Ovis aries: one gene and its partners. Each later gene encodes a partner of the first gene's protein in a complex. Links are inferred from orthologs where the notes say so. Each region holds a gene or a part of one and is shown in the gene's direction. Other genes may lie near its edges.

Region 1 (4,617 bases):
TTTCCTTTCCACATCCTTAAATATCTACTGTAAGAAGTGATTCCTGCTAGCTTAGAGAAGCTTTCTGTAGAACAGGCATTTAGTGCACGCTTTCTTGTTAGCCTTTACCTATCCGTGGTCTAACTAGCATGCAAAAAACACTAAGTAATTTTTAATACACAGAAACACATCACGAATGCTTACGTGTGTAATCACTTTACCTTTTAATTGATCTTTTAGTGTATTTTCTTACATTTAAAATTCGCTTAGCAGCACGAATCGATGGAGTGCGCGCTGCGTGCCTGGCTCCACTCTTGGCCGCTGGGTGTCCGGCTGTCACTGTGGGATGGTCATCGCCTCGGCCTCAGCGTCAGCAGCACGGATCTATGCGTGCTCAGCCGTGTCTGGCTCTTTATGGCCCATGGACGGTAGCCCGCTAGGCTCCTCTGCCCGTGGAACCTTACAATCAAGAATGCTGGAGTGGGCTGCCATTGCCTACACCAAGGGATCTTCCCAACCCAGGGATCAAACCTGCATCGCTCGTGTCTCCTGCAAGTGGATTCTTTACCGCTCGTGCCGCCTGGGTGGAGTGTAATCCGTGCGTGTGTGTGTGTGTGCATGTGCTCTCATGTATGTGGGCAGGGTTGGGGGAGAAATATACACAGTACATAAAAACAAGTAGATGATTCTCTCTAACAATATTTCCAGCAAGATAAGATGAAGTGCCAAAAATAAAAGAGAGAATAAGAATAGAAGCCTAATAAGGTCTTGTTTTTCTTTTTCCTCTGACACTATAATGGTGAGATTTGGTAAGAACTGGCTAACTTTATAGGTATAAGTATGGTGTAGAGAAATAGGGGATCAATGTAAAGTATTGTAAAAAAAAATGTTGTAGTCAGTAAATATGTCTAGTCAGAATATGGGCGTGCAGACTTAGAAATACGTGTTTCACGTCAAGAGTTCATATTACCTCCCTGATGGAGAGTGTTTCATTTCCCAGAGATTCAGTAACCAGGTGGTAAGAGGCTTTTAAAACATGGAACGCTAGTGACTAATCGCACAGTACAATGATTAGTATGTATTTAAAGACATATTTGCTGCATTTGTTTTGGGGGTCAGGCATCATTTAAGGCCCTGAGGAAACAGCAGGGACCCAATCATGAACCGTCCCCAAGCTCAGAGAAGTTGGACTCTAAGATGTGTATGGTTTTGAAGGTGGACAAGAAGCCCTCTGTGCTCAGAGTGTCAAATAAAACGTGAAAATAGTTGCCTTCAGTCATCAGCTTGTATTTATAATTTTTAATAATAACAACCCTGATATTAATTCTTCCTCGCGTTTTCAGAACTCTACCTTAAAGAATGCTGTGGGCACGTGATCTCTAAACAGAATTTGAAGCTACAGCATTATAGTCTTTTCCCTGAAATGATGTCGTATGAAAACAGGCGATGATGAGGTTACCTCTGTTCTGTGTAACCAGGGAGATCTTTATTGGTGGACTGTCGTCACCCAGGGTGGCACTGGAGGGTTTGCACCATAGGAAGGGCTTTCTCGGAGACCATCTTTGGGAACAGAAAGCGGGGGGGATTGGGCTGCCCCCTGTGTGGGAACTGAGGAAAGGAAGGGTGAGCTGTAGAGGCCCCTCCCTGCTGCCTTCTCTCTCCTTTCTACCCCCACCCCTCAAAGAAGGGTAGAGGAAAATTTTTCTCCTCCCCAACAGACTCAAAGAGAAACTGAAAATCTCTTTCGGTGTGTTATTCAGAGACCTTTCTTTGGCCTCAAACGCTCCCATCCAGACTAGACATTATTATGAAAGTTGCTGAAATACAGAAGGGATCAAAACCCCAGACATGACATATGAAGCGCTTGCTTTCAACTTCCTGTATCTGATAGCTGGCCTGGGTGAGTATGTAAATGACGCTGAGAAATCGCCCGAAGATGGTCCCTTTTAAAAGATGAAATTCTCCTCTAAGTTTCACACTTAGGTTAGTAACTAAGCATGCTATCGAAAGGTATGTGAGTCGGGTCCAGCTGCTCACCGCTCAAAAGCCAAAAACCAGGCCCCTGGAAAGGAAAGTTTGCCTCATTTCAGATGCTGGCAACTTATGGGGGAGAGGGGTGGACACCTGTCCAAAGGCCGACTCCTCCCCCACCCCCTGCTTGTCAGCAGCGGGTGAGAGCTTCCATAGACAGAGTCAGGGGAGGGGGGCCACGTGCAGAAGCAGCACAGGCATCTCTGACAGTCATCCCCAGGGTGGTCGTCAGCCGTCTGACCAGCGTCGTCTTGGGCATTTCAGGTACAGTTAATCTTCAGTCCCAGGTGCACTGGTTTCATTTCTTTGTGGTTAATTCTCGGAACTGGGGCAGCTCGTGGCCTGGGTATGGTCTGGTCATCATTAGTTAACTCCTCCACCTGGGGTTTCAGTATCCATAAGACAGCTCACAGGATGTGGCTCAGAACGTGATCTGTAGCCCTCGAGAAGGAGCTGAGGGTCCTTGACGATGGCTAATGACTATTACTATCTAGTTTCCTGAGACTGTTCTCCTTTGTGCAGCATTTCTCACTTCTCTGATTAAACTTATTCTTTGACGAAAGTTTTCCATGGAAAAAGGGCAGGCAGGGGACATGGTCCGGGGGCAGGGGTCATAGAGTCCTGCTCTGTTTCAAATGGAGGTGAAAAACTGCGTCTCTCGGGGTTTTTCTTTTCCTTTAAAAACCGTTCTCTTCCTTGTAGGAGCGTACACCTTTGTTCCTTGGCTTCTCAGCTTTAAAAGAGGAAGAGCCCTAGAAGAAAAAGAGAATAAAATTTTGGTCAAAGAGACAGGCTACTTCTTTATCTACGGTCAGGTAGGTCTGACCTTGAACCCACCGCCGCTGTCCAACGCCCCCGTTTCGTGCTGACTTCTGACAAAGTTCTTTGGTTTGTTCCTCAGGTTTTATACACCGATAACACCTTTGCCATGGGACACCTAATACAGAGGAAAAAAGTCCATGTCTTTGGGGACGAACTGAGTCTGGTGACTTTGTTTCGATGTATTCAAAACATGCCTGAAACACTACCCAATAATTCCTGTTACTCAGCTGGTAAATAACAGTTCTATATACATAGACAGAAAGACATACTGTGTGGGTTTTATGGTCTCAAATGATAAGTTAGTCTGTTTTGATAGAGACAGATGCGATCATTACTTTAGATTTTAATTATTAGCTAACTAGTTACTAGTAAGTTTATCGGTTTTATATACGTTTAGAAAGGGCAGTAGCTTCACAGTGATCCACTCTAGAACAAGCTGTGTTTTCTTGGAGCTGTGGTAAGAGTGCTTGCATCATAAGAAAGTGATGACCTGTGCCAGGCACACCCATCCATGCTCCCTGCTTTAATCCTCCTTTAAAAAGGGAGGTGGGGACTGAGACACAGAGACGGAGCACACATGGTCTGGGGCTGCACGGCTGATCCACTCCAGAACTTGGTTTAAATCAGCCAGTGTGCCCTGAGTGGGAGTCATGGAATCTCACCTCTTCTTTACCTCCCTCCTGTGGAAGAAATGCCCTTTGGCCAGTTTTGAATGTCAGATCCAGGGGCACCGTTTCTCTTCTGGGGTCAGTGGACACCAGATGGATGAGGGTGGGATGCGAAAGGGTAGGAGTGAGCCTGCCCTTCAACTCAGGGCCAGAGGACCGGAGAGGAAAGAGGACGTGCAGGCTGCCTTCATTTCAGGTCTGTCTGGGCTGTGATTGCCTTCAGTTATTGTTATTCAGCCGCTAAGCTGTGTCTCACTCTTTGGAACCCGTGGACTGCAGCGCGCCAGCTCCCCCTGTCCTTCGCTAATCTCCCAGAGTTCACTCAAACTCATGTCCATTGAGTCAGTGATGCCATCCAACCATCTCAGCCAAACAAGTTGCCATCAAAGCCTTCATTTTATTTGGGGGTAATTCCAAACTAATCAAGGCCAGTACTTGGAAAAAAAGTTGCCTTAAACACATTTATTTCTCTCTGGTGGTTTTGACAACTCCACTCACGACCCCAAGGAATGTCTTCCTTTCCAGACCGCGTGAATGACAGTGTGGAACGCACAGTGGGGGTTGGCTGTGTGTTCTGAAGCTGTATGTTCCAAAGGCACGTACTGACAAGTGCGCCAGGAATCAAGACAGAAAGGATAATAATGCAGATGCTTGCCATTCTGGACCCACAGCCGTAAAGAGCTTTGACGGGGTGCTGAGGAAGTCTGCTTAGATTTGAATTCCCTAATTTTCACAGAGAACTGTTATCCTGCAGCCTGTGGTAACCAGTATTTCTTGTTGCAAAATACCTATAAATTGTGAGGTCACTTCAGCCTGTCGTTTACTTACATTAATTAGCACTTAGAGCTTTACAACAGACTCCTTTATAAATTTTTCTGATCATCAGCTCCTCAAGGTTACTTCCTAGCCTTATTTTTTAAGATTAAATAACTTGACCTTAAAGGTATATCTCAGTGCTGATAGCTTAGCATCATTTACAAAAAGTGTTCTTCTAGGAAACTTCAGGTTTGCAGTTTTTATCTGTTCTAGAGAAACTCTGTTTTACAATCATTAAAAGCTACACATCGGTGTATAAAGTGTTTCCATAATAATCTGAAAAAAATTAAAGTGGTCCATT
Region 2 (5,144 bases), on another chromosome or scaffold:
TGTTTCACACACCCCAATATTAACGGTGATTATTTCTGTATGCTATGACTATGGATAATTTTGCTATATGCACAACTGTTTTTTCGAAGTTTTTAACAGTGGAACACAGACATTGGAACATTCAATAGACATTGGCTAGACGTCCAACAGTGGAATATAGACATGACATAGACATATGTTATAATATTATGTTAATTTATTGTTGTTGTTCAGTTGCTAAGTCTTGTCCGACTCTTTTTGACCCCATGGACTGTAGCACACCAGGCTTCCCTGTCCTTCACTATCTCCCAGAGTTTGGTCAAACTCATATACATTGAGTCAGTGATGCCATCCAACCATCTCATCCTCTGTCACCCGCTTCTTCTCCTGCCTTCAGTCTTTCCCAGCATCAGGGTCTTTTCCAATGAGTTGGCTCTTCACATCAGATGGCCAAAGTGCTGGAGCTTCGGCTTCAGCATCAGTCCTTCCAATGAATATTCAGTGTTGATTTCTTTCAGGATTGACTGGTTTGATTTCCATGCTGTCCAAGGAACTCTCGAGAGTCTTCTCCAGTACCACAACTCGAAAGCATTATATTAATAGTCATATATTATTATTATGTCCCAAATATGTCTTCCTCTAGCCCTCTTTTACCTACCTCTTTTTTTTTTTTAACCTATTTTACCCTAGAAGTAAAAATAGAAGTTGCCTCTTTTACCCTAGAAGTCTCTATTTGTTGGAATTCTGGGATTCTTCCTAGGTTTAAAACTTGGTAGTCATGCTTCATACTCCTTTTTTCTCACATTCTTCTTTCTTAAAAAAAAATTGTTCATTTGGCTTCATGGTCTTAGTTTCGACATGCAGAATCTTTAGTTGCAGCAAATGAATGCTCAGTGGGATCTAGTTCCCTGACCAGAGATCGAACCCGGGCCCCCTGCATTGGGCATGTGGAGTCTTAGCCACTGGATTACCAGGGAAGTCTCCCCCTCTCACATCCTCTCTTCCCACTATACTTTGTGGTTATTTGAGTGCATTTCTATCTCCTCTAAGAAATGGCAACCCACTCCAGTATTCTTGCCTGAAAAATCCTATGGACAGAGGAGCCTGGTGGGCTCCAGTCCAAAGGGTCTCAAAGAGTTTGACACAACTGAGTGACTAAACAGGCCTCCTCACTGTCTCCTCTGTTAGGTTTTAAGTTCTTCAGTGGCTCAGACCTTGTCTTATCTCTCTCCTTGGGGCCCATCACACAGGACAGCTCACAGAACAGATGCTCCAGAAATGGTTACTGAACCTTTTGCTTGATGCTTCAGGCTTGTTGACAATGCCACAATTGTCACCTGCCTGAGAAATTTCTTCTATAAATAAATAGTTTCTGTTTCAAGTATGGTTTGCTCTTGCTGCATATACCCCCTCTCTTACTCCACTCAAGCCTCAAACTTAGAAACTGGAATTAGTGTTGGTATTCAAATCCTTAGCCACAGTGCAAAGAGTCAGCCCCCTTAAGAACCAAGTCATCAGTGTGAAGTTTGTTTTCTTCCTCGACATTCCGGCTGCCGTCACTACATTTGCTGAGGAATTCTCAACAAGAGCTCACTTGTCCTTCCATGCCATTCTTTCTGCGGTTTCCTTGTTTCTTTTTGTGATCCAGTTCCAGATGGCTCAGCGGTGCTCCCCAAACGAGTATTTTGACAGATTGCTGAATTCTTGCATATCGTGTCAACTTCGGTGCCCTAATACTCCTCCCATAATATGTCAGCATTATTGTAACACAAGTAAGTAATCCTGTTTGAATGATCACTCATTGGTGTGAAGTATTTGCTCTGTGTGTGTGTGTGCTTAGTTGCTCAGCTGTGTCTGACCCTTTGTGACACTATGGACTGTAACCCACCAGGCTCCTCTATCCATGGGGATTCTCCAGGCAAGAATACTGGAGTGGGTTGCCATGCCTTCCTCCATGGGAATCTCCCCAACCCAGGTCTCCCACGTTGCAGGCAGATTCTTTACCCTCTGAGCCACCAGGGAAGCCCAAGAATACTGGAGTTGACTGTTTATTCAAAGAAGAAACATTATGGGAAGGTGGTGAGATTTTCTGAATCAAAAAGAGAAAGAAAATAAGGCAATCATTTAAATGCCAACAGGAATGGATACTTTTTCAGAGCTCAACTCTATTTTATTCTGCAATCTTAGCAACATAGATTTTTATCATCTCTCCTAATTAAGTATTAACTTAGAATTTAAAAGTCAAAGCTGAGGAATTAGGGGAACTGGATGGCAAATAATCTTTACCTGATGTGAATATTATGTTATCAAGTTCATTCTCTCTCTGACGTTCTTTTGATTCAGTGAAAGGAACAAATACATTTCTCTGGACCTGTTTGGGCCTGAGCTTGATAGTTTCCTTGACAGTTTTCGTATTGATGTTCTTGCTAAGGAAGATGAGCTCCGAACCATTAAAGGACAAACTTAAAAACACAGGTTGGTTTGATGGTTGATCTTTGAAATCTCTTTCCAAGAGGTGGCTATTGTGAATTTCAATTCCTTTTTTTCCTTTCATGTTGTGTATCTCATCTGGTAAGTGCCCTTTTGGGTATGTTAGATGACAGTTGGGTTAAATGAACTTGGGAGAAGGGAGCTTCCTTTCTGATGTTTACACCTTCTTTGTTGATATCGTACCATGTCAGCCTTCTTCAACATTCTTCCTTTGGTATTTACTCTTTTGAAGTACTGAGGCCTCTTTGGGAAATATCCATCTCTTTGACCAACGTCAGGACATTGATTAAACATCACACTATCAGAAATAGCTAGCCGGGTCTGGTACTATCCGAAAAAAATGTATTTGACAAGATTGGTGGCCGTATTTTTATACAAATACAAGTGGTGTTTGCTCAGATGAACAGTCTACTGCTGAAAAAAAGCTAGAAATGAATACCAATTGCTCCTGGATTATTTAAGCAATCATCTCAAAGATCTTTATTAAGCAGTAGAGAATCAGTCCCAGAGAAGTGAATATTCTGTGGAAGAGTTTTTTTTTTTTTGAAGAGTTTCTTAAGAGAAAAATATTTCGGCACCTTTGCCCATGATCTAATTTCTAGACCGCTTTGCAGTCATTGCCCTATTTCTTTATGTGTGTATTTTCCATGCAGAATCTATAAGGCAACATTTCGTCTGCTTTCTAGTGCAGAACGGGGAGGAAGATGGCTGTTTCATATCATTTACTCATTTCTCTTTTTTTGCCTGGGGCCTGAGAGACAGATGGGGAGTGACTTTAAGTGTGACATTTTGGACGATGGAGGTATACCATGGAACGTTGGGAAAGTATTAAAACATGCCTGCGCAGGAGTGTGATGGGGACACAGCGGAGACTCCTTCCTTATGGGATCATGAAAGTTTCATTAAAAAAAAAAAGTAATCTGCCCAATGCGCTGTAAGAGAAACATCTTTACTTTGAATTGTGAAGTGTCACCCAAGACTCATTTTGGTATGCTGTAACACACGCTGAGCCGTCAGTTCACAGTTGTAAAAAGGGTCGGTATCTTAATGCATCCAAGGGCCAAGTGGGTCAGAAACGAATGTAGTGGGTCACTGGAGGTTCGGTGATAGGGGACCGCGTGCCCAGCCTGAGGAAGACAAAGGCTATGGACTTCCAAGTGTTTTCTTGTGGGAATGTCAGTTCCCACTGGCCACATTTTTTGTCTTAAAAAAAAAATAAGGTAAAAGAGGGACTTCCAGGGTGGTCCACTGGTTAAGACTCTGTGCTTCCACCGAAGAGGGTATGACTTTGATCCCTGGTGGGGGAAATTCTGCGACCCTTTGGACTTTGTGACCCTGTGAACTGTAGCCCACCAAGCTCCTCTGTCTGTGGGATTCTCCAGGCAAGAATACTGGAGTGGGTTGCCATTTCCTCCTCCAGTGGATCTTCCTGACCCAGGGATTGAAACTGTGTCTCCGTGTCTCTGCAGTGCAGGCGGATTCTTTACCGCTAAATCACCTGGGAAGCACCCCCAAGTCATGAGATGTGGCCACAAAAAAGAGAGAGAGATCAGTTGTCTAGATTTGTATGTACAATCTCTTGATTTTCAAACGCGGGCCAACATTAAACAGATAAGCAAACACTGTAAAAATACTGTGTGCCATAAAGCGAGCATGTCTTTGAACCCAACATGGTCCATGGTCTTTCAGCTCATGACTTGGGGTGTAAGGCCTGCTTCTTTTGGGGAAAGACTTTTGGCTCCTGTTGCTTTGATCCCTGATGCATGCTGCTAAGTGTGGCACAACCAAGCACCCTGAAAGCTTTAGGATAACGGTTCTGTTTTTGTGCAATCAGGAGCGGTTCTCCAGAAGAATGCTAACGCAGACCTGGATGTTAACAATAACAGCAGTATTGTGGCTGAACCTCTTCTTTTGAGAGGCCTGGGGTACACAGTAGAAGAATGTACGTGTGAAGACTGTGTCAGGAGCAAACCGAAGGTCGATTCTGACCATTTCTTCCCCCTCCCAGCCATGGAGGAAGGCGCGACCATTCTTGTCACCACGAAAACAAATGGCTACTGCGACAGTCTGCTAGCTGCCACCAGTGTCACGGGGATGGAGAAATCAATTTATACCAGATAATTAACCATGTTAAGGGTATAGAGTTACTTGGAAAATCTTTGTCCTAAGGGAAGGATGGTGTCTCAGATCTCTTTAAGATGATTGTATTTATCAGCAGATGATATGGCTTTCCGTCCTCTAATTTTGGAAAATCTTTATGTTAGCTATATTTTTCTACCTTATTGTTGGGAGCTTAACTCTGAAAACTTCCTTGGTTTCATGATTAAATTGACTCACTGAAAAAAAAAAACAAAAAAATCACTGCGATGTGTAGATTCCATAGTCACATATTTCTATGGTTAGGCAGCTTCTCTCCTACACATGGGCACATACATTTCAGGACAGACTAGATTTCTCTCTTTATTGTTAAAGGAAAGCAATGTATTCTCTGTATATAGGAGAAGCCTGGAGTCAGCCACCCTCTTCAGTGTGCAGGGCATGACTGGTTCCTGACTTTGGGAGCTTTCAGCTTCATGGAGTCATACAGGCATTATTATAATCATATGAATGAATGTGTAGCTGCAAACTGTGATAAAGGTGTACTCGGTATCATTTTTTGCAGTTAACACAGGAAG
Region 3 (4,772 bases), on another chromosome or scaffold:
CACAGCAGCAGGCAGAGGGTCCCTTTGAAGGCACAGCTCAAAGAATCTCACCCACTCCAACACCTCCTGGGGCTCCTCACCCCCCCCAGGGCCTGTGGCTCGAGGCCTGGCCCGGACCCCCAAGGCAGCAGCCAAGCTTCCCCTTGCCCCTCTCTTGCTTGCGAACTTGTCCGTCCCACCTTCTGTCGGCAAGGTTTCCCTCCTGCTTGAGCCACTAAAGATCTACTCCTGGCCCTGAGTCCCCTCCCTGCTCCCTGGACAGTTACTCTTTCCTCTGTGCACCTCCAGCCCTGCGTGCTTAGGGGTCTGGTACGGCCCACCACGAGGGCACCAAGTCCATGCTCCTTCCTGAGGCTCTTTGCTAGCCTCGGCCCCCCGCCACTCCAGGTAGGGGGTCCAGCATCTGTCCAGGAAGGCCAAGGGGGCTGTGTGTCTGCCTGAGACTCGGCCCGAGAGACACAGGTGAGAGTCAGGTGGGGCTGCCCCAAACACTAGGGAGTAGAGAGACAGAAGGGGCCTTGATGAGACAGAGGGGTGAGCAGCCTGGACACACACAGCCCTGGGAAAAAGAAGTCGAGGTGGGTGGGCTGCCTACCGCCTCCTGGGCCTTGGTCTGTCTATCTGTTTACTGGTTGGTCTGAGTCTCCCTCTTGCTTAAGAGCTAGAGACTGAGCTATCCCTGGACCTAACCCATCTATGCACTCTGTTCCAGCCAGTGCTTAACAGGCAGGTCTGACTGGGACACTTCCTGCTGAAAGCCCTCCATGGCGCCCCAGTGCCCGTGCAGCCAGTCTTGGCTTCTCTCAGTCAAAGCCCCAGCCCCGCCCTCTGGTCCCAACACTACCTGGCCTTTGGATTTGGCCGAAGGCCTTTGTTTACACTGCCTGCTCCAGTGGACCTCACTCCATCTAGCAAACACCTGCTTGTCCTGTCCATAAAGTTGCCCTGTCCACGAAGCTTCCCTGTCCCCCGGTGGGGATCACCTTCAGTGATGCTGCGGCAGAGAGGCACTCCCTCCTCCAGTGCCACCTCCGAGTGCGGGAGTCCCCCGGGGGCCTGGGACAGTGTGGGCACTCCGGTTGTGTTTGAGGATCTGACCAGCGCTGCCTAAGAAGCACAGGAGGGCTCCCCGGAGGAGGAGGCAGGAAGGGAAAGAGGACTGGTGAGGATGGCCTGGGACTACAGGCTGGCCTTGGGGAGGCCACCTCAGAGCTCTGTATCCTGCTTAAGGGGCCCATCCTCTGTGCCCCAAGATCAAGCCCCCGGGTCTCAGTCCCAGCCTGATTTCAGAGCCCAGAATAGGGCCCGCCCCATGGTTGTCTAGGGGTGATGGTTGAATGGAGAAACCACAGAGAGAAGGTCTGGGGTGCTGGTCCGCGGGCTAAGAGTGGTCCCACTCCAGCAGGCAGGAGGGCGGGCTGGGGCGGAGTGGGTGGCGCCCCGCCCGGTTCCCTCCCCGCGGGGCAGCAGAGGCCAGACTCGTCCCGGCGGCGGGGGGTATGCGCAGAAGGCTAGAGGCTCCGGCAGCATGCCGCGAGGGCGGAGAAGCCTGCGGGGCAAGGACCGGCCGGCACCCACGCAGTGCCTGCAGACCCAGTGCTTCGACCCGCTGGTCCGCAACTGTGTGGCCTGCAGTCTCCTCCGGACGACGGAGCCTAGGCTGGGTAAGAGTCGAGCCGCGCCGCATGGCGCGCGCACGGGGCCGCCCTGGAGCGGGAGGGAGGGGGATGCTAGGAGTCGCAGGCAGGCCCCCCCCAACCCCCGCCGCCGCCCTGTCCCGGGACTGTGGGGAGGGGCGGGGTCTCGGGTTAACTGGCGAGGTGGGGTGGGAAATGTGAGCCGGGGGCCTGGAGGGGGGACCAGCCGTCGGCGCGTGGCCCTCACGGCCCCCTCTCGCCCCTCGGCCTGCGCTGCCCCGCCCGGCCGTCCCCCCCTTCCGCGGCCCAGCCTCACCTTCCTCCGGCCCTCCCCCTCCCCACGCCCCCCTCCCCTCCGCCCCCTGCTCCCCCTGCCCGTCCCCTCCAGCAGGCGGCCCAAGCAGCCTGGCGCCCGGGACGGCGCTGCAGCCGCAGGAGTCGGCGGGCCCCGGGACCCCCGCGGAGGCCGAAGCGGCGCTGCCGCTCCCGGCGCTGCTCTTCGGAGCCCCCGCGCTGCTGGGCCTGGCGCTGGCCCTGGCCCTGATCGGGCTGGTGACCTGGAAGCGCCGGCGGCGGCAGCCGGGCGCGGCGGTGGTCCCTGAGGCTCCGGAGGCCGCGGAGGCCCCGGACGGAGACCCAGACAGTAAGTTCCTCGTCTAGGGGACCGGAGAGGGTTGGGGGCCGTCGGAGGGGAGGCATGATCCTTGAGGGGTCCGAGGGGGTCTGGGTGAACGGGGAGGGATGGTCTGAAGGAGGCAAGGCCGAGGGGAGAGAAATAGTCCGACCAGAGACCGGCAATCCAGGCGAGGGACACAGCTCTAGCGTCCCAGACCTGTGTGAAGAAGAAATCCAAGGCTGGGGAGCCCAGTTGGGGGTGGGGGTGGCCTGTCCCGCCCTCTCTCTGGGACAGGCAGACCGGTTCCCACCTCTCCTCGCCCTCTGTCAGCACTGGCATTTTGCCAGCCAGCTCTAGAAACTTCCCGTCCTGAGGGCCCATCACGTGCCACCCCTCCCCATCCCACCAGTGGGGCTTTATCAGCTGACTGCTCTCCCATCAGTCAGAGGGCTGTCCCGCCAGGGAGGCTTCCAGAACAGGGGGTGGGGACGGCTGCGAGCCAATCCTGACCCTGCACCACCCACAACTCTCTCCACCCCAGAGCCCCTGGATGTTGATACCACACTCTCCCCCGGAACCCTGGATGCCACGGCTCCCATCTGGCTTCTGCCCAGTGAAGACCCAGCGGCCACCCCACCTACCCACAGCGTCCCTGTGCCAGCCACAGAGCTGGGTTCCACTGAGCTGGTGACCACCAAGACGACCGGGCCTGAGCTACAGTAGCGACCGAGGAGGGCAGGAGGCGGCCCCCACCCTTTCTATGGGCCACCAGCTGGACTCGAAGGTTGAATTCAGTTCTTCACTCCGGCGCCCACTGTCCCTTCTGGAAGCTCCCCCGCTAACCCTGCAGAACTACAGACACCCAGACCACAGAGTTTGGACTGCATGGCATTGTACTGCGTGTTAGCATTTGGCTTAAACTCATACTGGGCTGCCCAGGTGGCGCTAGCGGTAAAGAATCTTCTGCTAATGCAGGAGACATTAAGAGAGGCGGGTTTGATCCCTGGGTTGGGAAGATCTCCTGGAGGAGGAAATGGCAACCCACTCCAGCACTCTTGCCTGGAGAATCCCATGGACAGAGGAGCCTGGCGGTTACATTCCATGGGGTTGCAAAGAGTTGGACACGACTGAGTGACCACAAATACACAAAATAAACTCATACCATCTGTCATAGTCCTCAAAGGTAGTGGCTGAGCTCTGTGCTCTTTCAGTGGTTGGGATACTCTGAGTAGAGTTTTTCTTTAAGCTTGGGGAAACCACCATAAACCAGAATGAATCTAGGAAAGCACTGAGTAGGAGGATGCTTAATTTGCAGCCGGGTTGTGTTTAATACTTGCTCTCAGAGCTGTCCCGCTTTTAAACCGATGCAAATGGCAGCAGTGAGTAACCAACTGACCGGTTTGCTTTGGGATTTATTACAAGATGAGTTTAAGAAATAGCCTGAATTGTGCTGGTTATTGGGTATCTGTATCCTAGGGTCACCCCTGAGCTTGGCCCAACCTGCTAAGATCTGTGATGCCATTTTTGCCCTGGTGGCAGCTTCCAGAGCCCCATGCTCATGCTTGGGAAGAAGTCTAGAGCCTGTGGGGCTGGACTGCAGTTGCACACTGATGGCATGCTGACAGCACGTCAGCATGAGCCCACCTGGAGTGCTAGCGGCTTCCGGGGCACACAGAGCTGTATACAGGGCAGGGCCCAGGACCTGCAGGAGGCTTCTTAGTTAGGAGGCCAGGGCAGGCCTGTGCCCTCAAACCAGCTGGACCTGATGTCCTTTGAGTGCCCTTCGCTCTGTGGCCTGTGCTCCCCAAGTCAGGCATCCACCACCCCAGTGGAACTATTCCTCTGACGGGGTGCCCCCTGCCCTGGGGCCTGGAACCAAGACCTCTCTCTCCCAGTTCTGGACCACGCTGTGCGCTCAGTCAGCTGCTGGCTTTCCTGCCAAACCTCCTGCGATCAGGAGGGTTAGATCCTGCTGACCTGGACTCTACCCTGACTATGGCCTTGGAATTTGTCACAGTTTAGCACCCTTGGTAGGGGCAAGGGATTGGGGAGTCAGAAGATGGTACTCTGAGTATACCATGTCATCCTCCTTGTAGGTTCTTGACCATATTAGTTTCTCTTTTTTGGGCCATGCTGCACACCTTGTGGGATCTTAGTGCCCTGACCAGAGATGGAGCCCATGCCCTTGTCAATGAGAGTTTGGAGTTATAACCCCCGGACTGCCAGAGGATTCCCACCTTGACCATGTTCTGTTCCATGCATCATCTCTCTGTCCATCTGTCCCTGACCTGCCCATCAGAGCTGCCCAGTAGACACCTGCCCTTCTGGCCCAGCCCTTCCCCAGCTCAGAAGATAGTCAGTGGCTAGCACCGTTTGGCGGCCCCCAGAACCGGACAGCCACATCTGAGTTTCTTCTCTCCATCCTGAACACATCTCAGATGCCTCCCCCCATCCCCCCAGCCATCAGCTGGCTGAGGTGAGGTCAGGGTGAGGGCTGTAGGCAGGAGGGTTGGGGGCAC

What was found.
Region 2: the proteins of TNFSF13B (region 1) and TNFRSF17 are in contact, whole or in part, in a crystal structure (PDB 1OQD), measured with the Homo sapiens proteins. The link is inferred for Ovis aries from reciprocal best matches to the Homo sapiens genes TNFSF13B and TNFRSF17. Residues at the interface, in NP_006564.1 of Homo sapiens: Ser162, Tyr163, Lys204, Thr205, Tyr206, Ala207, Met208, Gly209, His210, Arg231, Cys232, Ile233, Glu238, Pro264, Arg265, Glu266, Asn267; in NP_001183.2 of Homo sapiens: Tyr13, Asp15, Ser16, Leu17, Leu18, His19, Ile22, Arg27, Ser29, Ser30, Asn31, Thr32, Pro33, Pro34, Leu35.
Region 3: the proteins of TNFSF13B (region 1) and TNFRSF13C are in contact, whole or in part, in a crystal structure (PDB 1OQE), measured with the Homo sapiens proteins. The link is inferred for Ovis aries from reciprocal best matches to the Homo sapiens genes TNFSF13B and TNFRSF13C. Residues at the interface, in NP_006564.1 of Homo sapiens: Ser162, Tyr163, Asp203, Thr205, Tyr206, Ala207, Met208, Gly209, His210, Leu211, Thr228, Arg231, Cys232, Ile233, Pro264, Arg265, Glu266, Asn267, Ala268; in NP_443177.1 of Homo sapiens: Asp26, Leu27, Leu28, Val29, Arg30, Val33, Leu37, Leu38, Arg39, Pro41, Arg42.

What each region holds. Positions count from the first base shown.
Region 1 is NC_056063.1:83,041,467-83,046,083, forward strand, and holds part of TNFSF13B (tumor necrosis factor ligand superfamily member 13B), read left to right. Parts: intron 1-2,712; coding exon 2,713-2,825; intron 2,826-2,911; coding exon 2,912-3,062; intron 3,063-4,617. UniProt on the Homo sapiens protein: Cytokine that binds to TNFRSF13B/TACI and TNFRSF17/BCMA. TNFSF13/APRIL binds to the same 2 receptors. Together, they form a 2 ligands -2 receptors pathway involved in the stimulation of B- and T-cell function and the regulation of humoral immunity.
Region 2 is NC_056077.1:11,192,063-11,197,206, forward strand, and holds TNFRSF17 (tumor necrosis factor receptor superfamily member 17), read left to right. Parts: upstream 1-1,507; 5' UTR 1,508-1,633; coding exon 1,634-1,751; intron 1,752-2,322; coding exon 2,323-2,454; intron 2,455-4,303; coding exon 4,304-4,590; 3' UTR 4,591-4,797; downstream 4,798-5,144. UniProt on the Homo sapiens protein: Receptor for TNFSF13B/BLyS/BAFF and TNFSF13/APRIL. Promotes B-cell survival and plays a role in the regulation of humoral immunity. Activates NF-kappa-B and JNK.
Region 3 is NC_056056.1:218,762,318-218,767,089, reverse strand, and holds TNFRSF13C (tumor necrosis factor receptor superfamily member 13C), read left to right. Parts: upstream 1-1,475; 5' UTR 1,476-1,528; coding exon 1,529-1,664; intron 1,665-2,025; coding exon 2,026-2,280; intron 2,281-2,794; coding exon 2,795-2,976; 3' UTR 2,977-3,435; downstream 3,436-4,772. UniProt on the Homo sapiens protein: B-cell receptor specific for TNFSF13B/TALL1/BAFF/BLyS. Promotes the survival of mature B-cells and the B-cell response.